Linked DNA regions of Oryzias latipes. The protein of the gene in region 1 purifies or fractionates together with the protein of each later gene. This does not show direct contact. Links are inferred from orthologs where the notes say so. Each region holds a gene or a part of one and is shown on either strand. Other genes may lie near its edges.

What was found. The genes of interacting proteins can lie anywhere in the genome.
Region 2: the proteins of vps45 (region 1) and rbsn purify together in Homo sapiens (affinity purification with mass spectrometry; 4 studies listed by BioGRID and IntAct, counting the BioPlex papers as one, with this or other methods). This does not show direct contact. The link is inferred for Oryzias latipes from reciprocal best matches to the Homo sapiens genes VPS45 and RBSN.

The regions. Positions count from the first base shown.
Region 1 is NC_019869.2:4,525,081-4,528,593, forward strand, and holds part of vps45 (vacuolar protein sorting-associated protein 45), read right to left. Parts: intron 2,018-3,513; coding exon 1,896-2,017; intron 809-1,895; coding exon 677-808; intron 233-676; coding exon 145-232; 3' UTR 1-144. UniProt on the Homo sapiens protein: May play a role in vesicle-mediated protein trafficking from the Golgi stack through the trans-Golgi network.
Region 2 is NC_019865.2:17,024,987-17,029,129, reverse strand, and holds the start of rbsn (rabenosyn-5), read left to right. Parts: upstream 1-1,331; 5' UTR 1,332-1,457; intron 1,458-3,283; 5' UTR 3,284-3,393; coding exon 3,394-3,556; intron 3,557-3,790; coding exon 3,791-3,925; intron 3,926-4,007; coding exon 4,008-4,108; intron 4,109-4,143. Other genes in the region: trh (thyrotropin releasing hormone precursor), read left to right, coding at 1-108. UniProt on the Homo sapiens protein: Rab4/Rab5 effector protein acting in early endocytic membrane fusion and membrane trafficking of recycling endosomes. Required for endosome fusion either homotypically or with clathrin coated vesicles.

The DNA.
Region 1 (3,513 bases):
CGGAAACGGGGTCAGCGGATGCGGTCCGGATGCATCACAGCGATGCCCGACCGTTCACACGCATGAAGGCGGGCGGAGGGAGCCAGGCTGAGCGTCCAACGCAGGAGAAATGGATGTAGAGGAAACTGGGGTGGGGGGCGCTGTTTAGCGCCTGTTGCTATGGCGACCGGCCACCTGTGATCTGTCGCTACCACTGCTCTGACCCGTCGCCAACATCACCTCCTCCAGAAAGCTGAATGAGAACAAAAGGAAAGAGAGAATTTATGTTTAAACAAAAAAACTTATTTTTTGAGTCACTAATTAACCAACAACTCCAATAATGTTTCTATTTAGCTGCTGCTAGAAAACCCACGATCCTATAGCGTTCCAAGGCCGTAAGCACGTCAAATGTTAAAGGATAAAGTGAACAAACACACGGTGCATTACAAAAAACACATACGTTTGTGTAAAACGCCCCATTTCCTGTTGGCAGCAGACAAACTCTGAGTGGATGATTAACAGACGCCAACAAGGTTGTTGCCCTTTGGATGGCTTCTCCAGTCAAACTCAAGCCAATTTTTCTTTTTTATTATATCAAATGTGATCATTAAATCAAATCAATGGAAGGAGGTTTGTTGTAACCAGAAGGGGTTACTGAGGAGATGAAGAATGTGTGCTCAGCGTGGCGGTCTGACACCTCTTCGTGTTCTGGATGGTACTTCCTCCCAGGACGATGCGGACGCCGGGGGTGTTGCGGTTTAGGTTGTAAACAGTCAGAGCTTCTTCATACGTGGCTCCACCGATTATAAACACCATGATGTCTTGTGGCCTGGAACACAAAACACAAATGTTGGTGCTTTAAAGAGCCATGAAGAAAAAAAAAAAATCAACTTTTTCCACTGAGTTCTAATGCTGATTCGAAATTTTAATCCATTCACACATTTCTGAGTATTCTTCTAAAAAACCTGCTCTTTGAGCAGCAGCCACTCCCAACCCGTGAGTGGGTCCTCACATTGTGACATCACAAAGTGAGGAACAGCCCCTTCCAGGAAGTGTCTGGAAGCCCCGCCCCCAGCATAACACCCACTTTCTCATTGAGGTAGCGGTGATCGGCTTTCAGTTTATGAGCACAATATCCATATTGCAAAAGTCTGGACGTTTATTTGTTTTTGTGGGCAAAATGCAGACACAGAGCTCAGGCCGAGGTTGACGTCATGAAGTGGGCGGGACCCACAAGGAGAGAAAAGGCGGAGCCTCAGAGATTGAGTTGTCTTACTTCCAGGCTAAGAAAATGAGCTGCGAAAATAACAAATATTTCTTTATATGTTATTTGATATATCATATGATATGATATATGTTATATCATATGTTTTCACATATTTATGAATATAATTTACTCTAACAAGCTTAGAGAAGCATGACCTTTAACTTTACACGCCGTTTTTTCAGAGTCGCCTGCAAACGCGACTGGAAATCTTTGCCAAAACTGCGAGATGCAAACTTAAAAAAATAAGACACAAAACAGCGACATCTTCCATTAGAATAAACTACAATTGTCAAAATTTGACTAGCTTAGTGGCTTTGTGGTAGAGTGTCCGCTCAGAAACTGGAAGGTTGTGCGTTCAAATCCCGGACAAGTCAATCCAAAGGCTCTTAAAAATGGGAGCCCTGCTTGACACTCACCATTGAGGGGTTAAATTGGGGGATAAACCACCAAATGGTTTCAGAGTGCAGCTGTGTCTGCAGCTCCCCACTCACATTTTACAAACTTGGCCAAAAAAAGGCCAAAGTTAAAACTCCCAGTTTCAACGCAGACACTCCACCACGAGGACACAGAGTGGCATTTTAGTTAAAAAAAACAAAACAAAAAAACCCCCCGAAAGGTGTGAGTTCTTCCACCCTCAGGTGTGTGTTACCTGTCCCTGAGGCTGCTGGCTCCCAGGTAAGGAAACTGACTGTCTTTGAGTCGACCTTTGATCAGCTGATCCAGCGTGTCATGGAGAAGAGGTTGATGCTGAGTGTAGACGTTCTCAACCCCCTAAAAACACACAACACGGACCAAATAACTCCACCCCTGAAACCTTTTTACAATAAAGCTGGATATTAGAGTCTCATAAAGGGACAAAACTCGGTTGATGTTTTATTTCGAAAAAGGAACTTCCTGTTTTCAATCTAAAATTAACTTTTACTAACTAATATCTATAAATATCTTTAGCAGTGACAGCTTTCATGTGACGGTCTGGTTGCATAGACTCATTCATACATACATACATACATTCATATCCTATTTTGGAGAATCCTATCTCATTAGCATGATCCAAACTTTGCCTAAAAAACACATTGTATATAACTGAGTCCGTGTTTTCTGCCCTGTAGTTCAACATCCTTCCACTAGGGGCAGTAGAAGGTCTTTTTTTTAAACAACTGCTTCCATGAAATCTCAGACATTTTCGGCGGGAAATGTTTAGCAAATTTTCTAAACTGTACGCTGAGAAAAACTCGACTGCGGTTATTCATATTTTCAAATGACAATTTGCTGTGTAAAAGAATGCAAAATTTCTTGATAATTTATTCTTTATAATGCAGTTACACCACAGTAAAAATGTGTGGATCAAATTAAAGCCAGTGGGTAAATAAGATGTTTTTGTCAATATTATTGTATCTTAAACTAACATTGTTGTGACCAAAACCTAACAAATCACCAAAAATATCATCATCGATACTATCTAAGTAATTACTATCAAATTATTAAAATTTGTGGATTGTAATTTTCATGAATGGGCTTAAATTTACTCTTAAATAATAAAAAATTGAATTTTCTGTCAATTCTTTAGTGGGCTTTAGAGGGTGCTCTTTCAGGACGTTATTAATGTAAAAACGTGAGGTGAGCTAAAGTTTGAAACGACAAAATTGGCAGACTTTGAGGCCTAAAACTGACAAGAATTTTTCCTCCTAAAAAACAAGCCCCTATTATCAACACTCCACCTCCATGCTTAAAGGTTTCCACAGTCCCTGTTCTCATTTTTCCCCTTGTTTTATCAACAAACAAATTGGCTTAACTCCACTTTAATCTCCATGTAAAACTTTATTTCTATAATTTCTAGTAAGTGAAATTTCTCCAGCGCAAGTTCCATATTTGGTTAGTCGTTTTTTAAAACATACAGCGATGACCTTTAGTTATCCGGCTAAGTTGACTGTGTGAAGGGTCAGGCCGAGCTTGTAGATGTTTTGAAATCACCGTCCTACAGATAAACGTACAGGAACTCCTAGAGGACATTTCTTATCGTTTTCACTCTCACTACGTTTGCACATTATAACCAGGCGTGCATCGATCAGATTGTAGTCAGAATAGCTGAGTTCTAGCAACAACAAAAGTCTAATTGGACGGTTTTTCACCTGTTCTTCTAGACAGGAGAATGAAAACGTTCCTATAAACTTTAAAAAAACAGCACTCTCTGTCAATCTTCAGGTAGATCTATTTCGTCGTGTTTCATTTTTTCCTGTTAGGTGCTGAAAATGATGTAAAAGCCGCAG
Region 2 (4,143 bases), on another chromosome or scaffold:
GATTTTTTAGACAACATTAAGGAGGTTCATGAGGAGGAGAAGAGACAGCACCCGGGTAAAAGGTTTGCACTGAAAGAGAATGAGGAGGATGCAGTGGATAGCGAATAGTGTATGCTGTTAAGGTCTGCGCGCACTGCTTCCCTGTAAACAAATAGATGTAAAAAATAAAGCCACTATAATAAATTACAAAAATAAAACAAAAAACGATAGCCTTTTTATTTTATTTTGGTGCCACTATCGTTGGCAGACAGATATTGTTTCTTCAACGCAAAGTATTTTTCTGAAATGCTCTTTACGGCGCTTGTGCGTAATTCTCTAAACTTTTCTGTACAGTTTTCCGAAAGGTTTTTTCCATATTTAGATATATTAGTTATTTATCATTAATAGATCTACTAAATATGTAGGCTACTCTGTTCTTTAGATTGTTCATGCTTGCAATAAGTTTTAAAAGCATTACTGTTCCCTCTGTGAGGCGACAGGCTCGTAGGTGTGGCACACTGTGAGGATGAAATAAAGTAAAATTGATTTCGTTTCAAGCCAGAAAATCCCTTCATTGACTTTTTTGTGTGTTTTATTCTTTTGTATCCAAGTTAATTATAAAGACTACCACAGCAAATAACATGTCTTGCTCAACAATTGTCTGCATTACGTCATGACTTAATGAAAAAATAAAAATGGTTGAAAGCATTAATCTTTGGATTTTATATTTATGCCTGCAAATAACTTTCCTAATTGATATTTTTCCAGTATGATTACGAGGTAAGGCCGCTGATGGGCAGTGTCAGACATCCACTGAGCCTTTTAATTAGCTCGGATCGGCACGAGCTGTCTCTAAATCAATATGCTAATTAATCACAGAGTTTACAGAGGGTGACCTATAGGTGGCGACATTTCACAGAATTACAAATGGTTACAAAGCCCAATGAAAAGCCTTGGGGAGTTATCCTTAATTTCTGTCAATGGGCGTTACATTAAAAGTATATGTCAAAACTTTTTTTTTAACTACTATGAAGACTATTAAGAATAGCTATATTTTCCGTTTAATATAGTGCATTTTTTATCAGCTTGCTAAATTTCCACGATGAAGATTAGCTAACATATTAGTCCATACATTAATTAACTTCAGATAACCATTTTCATTTTCTTCCTCAACTATAATTTCTGACTCACTATAGATATATGTTATTTCTGATAGGACTATTTAAATAACTGAAAAATTACCTTACTTGTCGTGTGTTTTAGTGAATTCATTAAACCGAAATTGGACTGCTGCCAAAGGTAAGTTCGCGTTTTTTCTGTGCTTTTTGTCCCTCTCATCATCCCTTAGATCTTCAACTAATCACATGACAAGGCAGAGCCACTGCATCTGCTGCTTTGGAGCTGTCAAAAATTGTCAACAGCAGACTTATTGTCGGATACACTTCAGCATATGAACTCTTCTTCGTCTGGAGGGGAAGGTATATGATTATATGTTTATCTAGTTATGAAGTTTTTGTTGGATCTGCCTGCAAATTAGAGGGAAAATAGCGGTAAAGATTGCGAACCCTCATTATATGCTAGCATCATTTACGGCTAAACCGTTCCTTCGTTGCTTGGAATAGCGGTATAAAATTTTGCTTTTAACTCAACGCATTGTATTTGAAAACACGGATCTTTTCCTTCTGGCAATTCCCTCCGTTTCGCGCCTTAGACTAAAGCAAACCTTAATATGAAATGTCAAACAGGGATGCTTGCTAGCACAGCTGTAACTTTCCGTGTAGCAAGATTTTAAGTTTTTATTCTGAATATAAAAAATGCTTTGTTATAGTAATTTAAAGAAAAACGTTTTTTCTCAAAGTTGCAGAATTTAATTTTTAAAACAATCTTCTGGTTATAAATATTAGAAATGGACCGATGGGATTTTTGGGCTCATCTCAGTCCCTGTAAATAAACGTAATCAAAGAGCGTCCATTACAAACATGAATCATTATCAGAGCATAAATCGGGCTGTTATAATGACGAAATGGACCAGAACTTTAGTTTAAAAAGACAACTAACTTTATTATTGGGGACATTTCATATTCATAAAGGAAATGATCAAACCCCAAACCTAATACACTTAACCAATGCAATATGGTAACATCAATCAAATGACAACAAAACTGGCTGCTTCGACTCATTTCATTGTTAAAAAGGTACTTAAAAAAACAACATCTCTGTGGCTCCTTGTTAATTTTTGTTTTGTCATGTGATGCACTATGGCTCTACATAAATTCTGTGAATTTGAATTTTTTTCTGTCTTTCTTTCCCCTATGCATTCACACGTTTGTTGTACATTATGGAAGCGATTTTGTAGCATAATTAAAAATGAAAGTCAAAACCAGAAATGCTTTTTCATTTTCAAAATGTAACTGCATGTTTTGACTCAAAATTAAAATGAAAAAGCAATCCTTCAAAATGCTTTTTCCTTTTCTTCTTCAACACCGCTTTTTCTGTCACTTAATTAAAATGATAATGTAAATGGTATTTGACATCTCATTTTCAAAAGGTTCTCTGGTAAATGTGTAGCAAAATTCATTTAGAAATGTCTAATTTGAGAATTAAAATGGATTAACAGAAATGCTTTTTCATTTTCATAATGTAACTGCATCAAATGACTCCAAATTAAAATGAAAATTCAATACTTCAAAATGCTTTTTCATTTTCTACTTAAAAACCGGTTATTCTGTGTCGTAATTAAAACGAAAATGCAAAGAGGGGATTGCATTTTCATTTTAACATCCACCCTGCGAATACTGTCGCATAATTCAATTCGACTTAGCATTTCCAGAGGGGAGGCGGGGCGATGACGTCACTGCTTTCTCCGTGTGTCCGGCTGCTAAGAGACACATGCTAGGAGCAGTGCGGCCAGGCTTGTAGCTTTGTGTTACCGACAGAGAAGAGGGCTTTGTGACGGTTGTGCACTCCTGATGATTGTACACAAATGATTAGTGCAAGGGTAGTTAATATGAGCCACTGCCTTTAAACCTCTTCAACCTTTCATAGTCATCAGTTGGGATCTTTTTTGCAGTCAGTGGCCCTCCTATTGCAGCTCTCATTTCAGTTGGATAAGGGTGACTTTGTTATTACAATGACTTTTTACAGTATTGCAATTAAACGCTTTTTTACATTAATTTTTGTTTTTTGACTAAGCTAAAACCACTTTCAGTCCTAACTGTAAATATCTGAGATTTCACAATTAAGCCTGAAGTTATGTGTAACCTCAGTCTGCTTTGTCTTTCTGTTCACTCTTTACATTTTTCAGGAATCATGAAGCTAAGGAGGCTAACATTGTACACATTGTGACCAGCGGGTTGAAGCTTCATTATGCCGCCCTTCACTTTCTGGTAAACAACAAGGCTTCCAGCTCTCATCATGGCCTCCAGCTACCCACCCCCCTTCGAGGGCACAGGTGAAGTAAAAGAGGGCTTCCTTTGCCCATTGTGCCTGAAGGACCTGCAGTCTTTCTACCAACTCCAAGGCCACTATGAGGAGGAGCACTCAGGGGATGACCGGCATGTCCGAGGCCAGCTCAAAAGTAAGGGTCGAGTCAGAATTCAGCTTCAGAAAAAAAGAAAAAACGTAATAAAATTCCCTTTTTTGCAATATGACAATCCAGCTAATAAGCTTAAATGTAGCTGTTTGGAGTTGGTGTTTCTTTCTATCTAACATTTGAAAAAATCCAGCTTTCCTTAACAATTGTCATACTTTAAAAAAAAAAAGATATCTTATGTGAATTTACAATATTTTGTTACCTTTCTGTGTGATTCAGGTTTGGTTCAGAAGGCAAAAAAAGCCAAAGATAAACTTTTAAAGAGAGATGGAGAGGACAGGCTCGACACGGGCAGTTATGAGTCTTTCTACTATGGTGGAGTGGATCCTTATATGTGGGAGCCTCAGGAACTGGGTAAGAAAGTATTAATATCAGAGCAGCACATGTATTTTTCGTGTTTTTTATTTGTTGGAATTGTTTTTGTTTACTCTAATAGGAGCAACAAGAAGTCACCTGGATATCTTTAAGAAACATCGTGCTGCCAGAATAGATCACTATGTCATTGAAGTCAACAAGCTCATCATTAGACTGGAGAAGGTACGCCCTCAAAAGCATCATTCTCCTTATGGCTG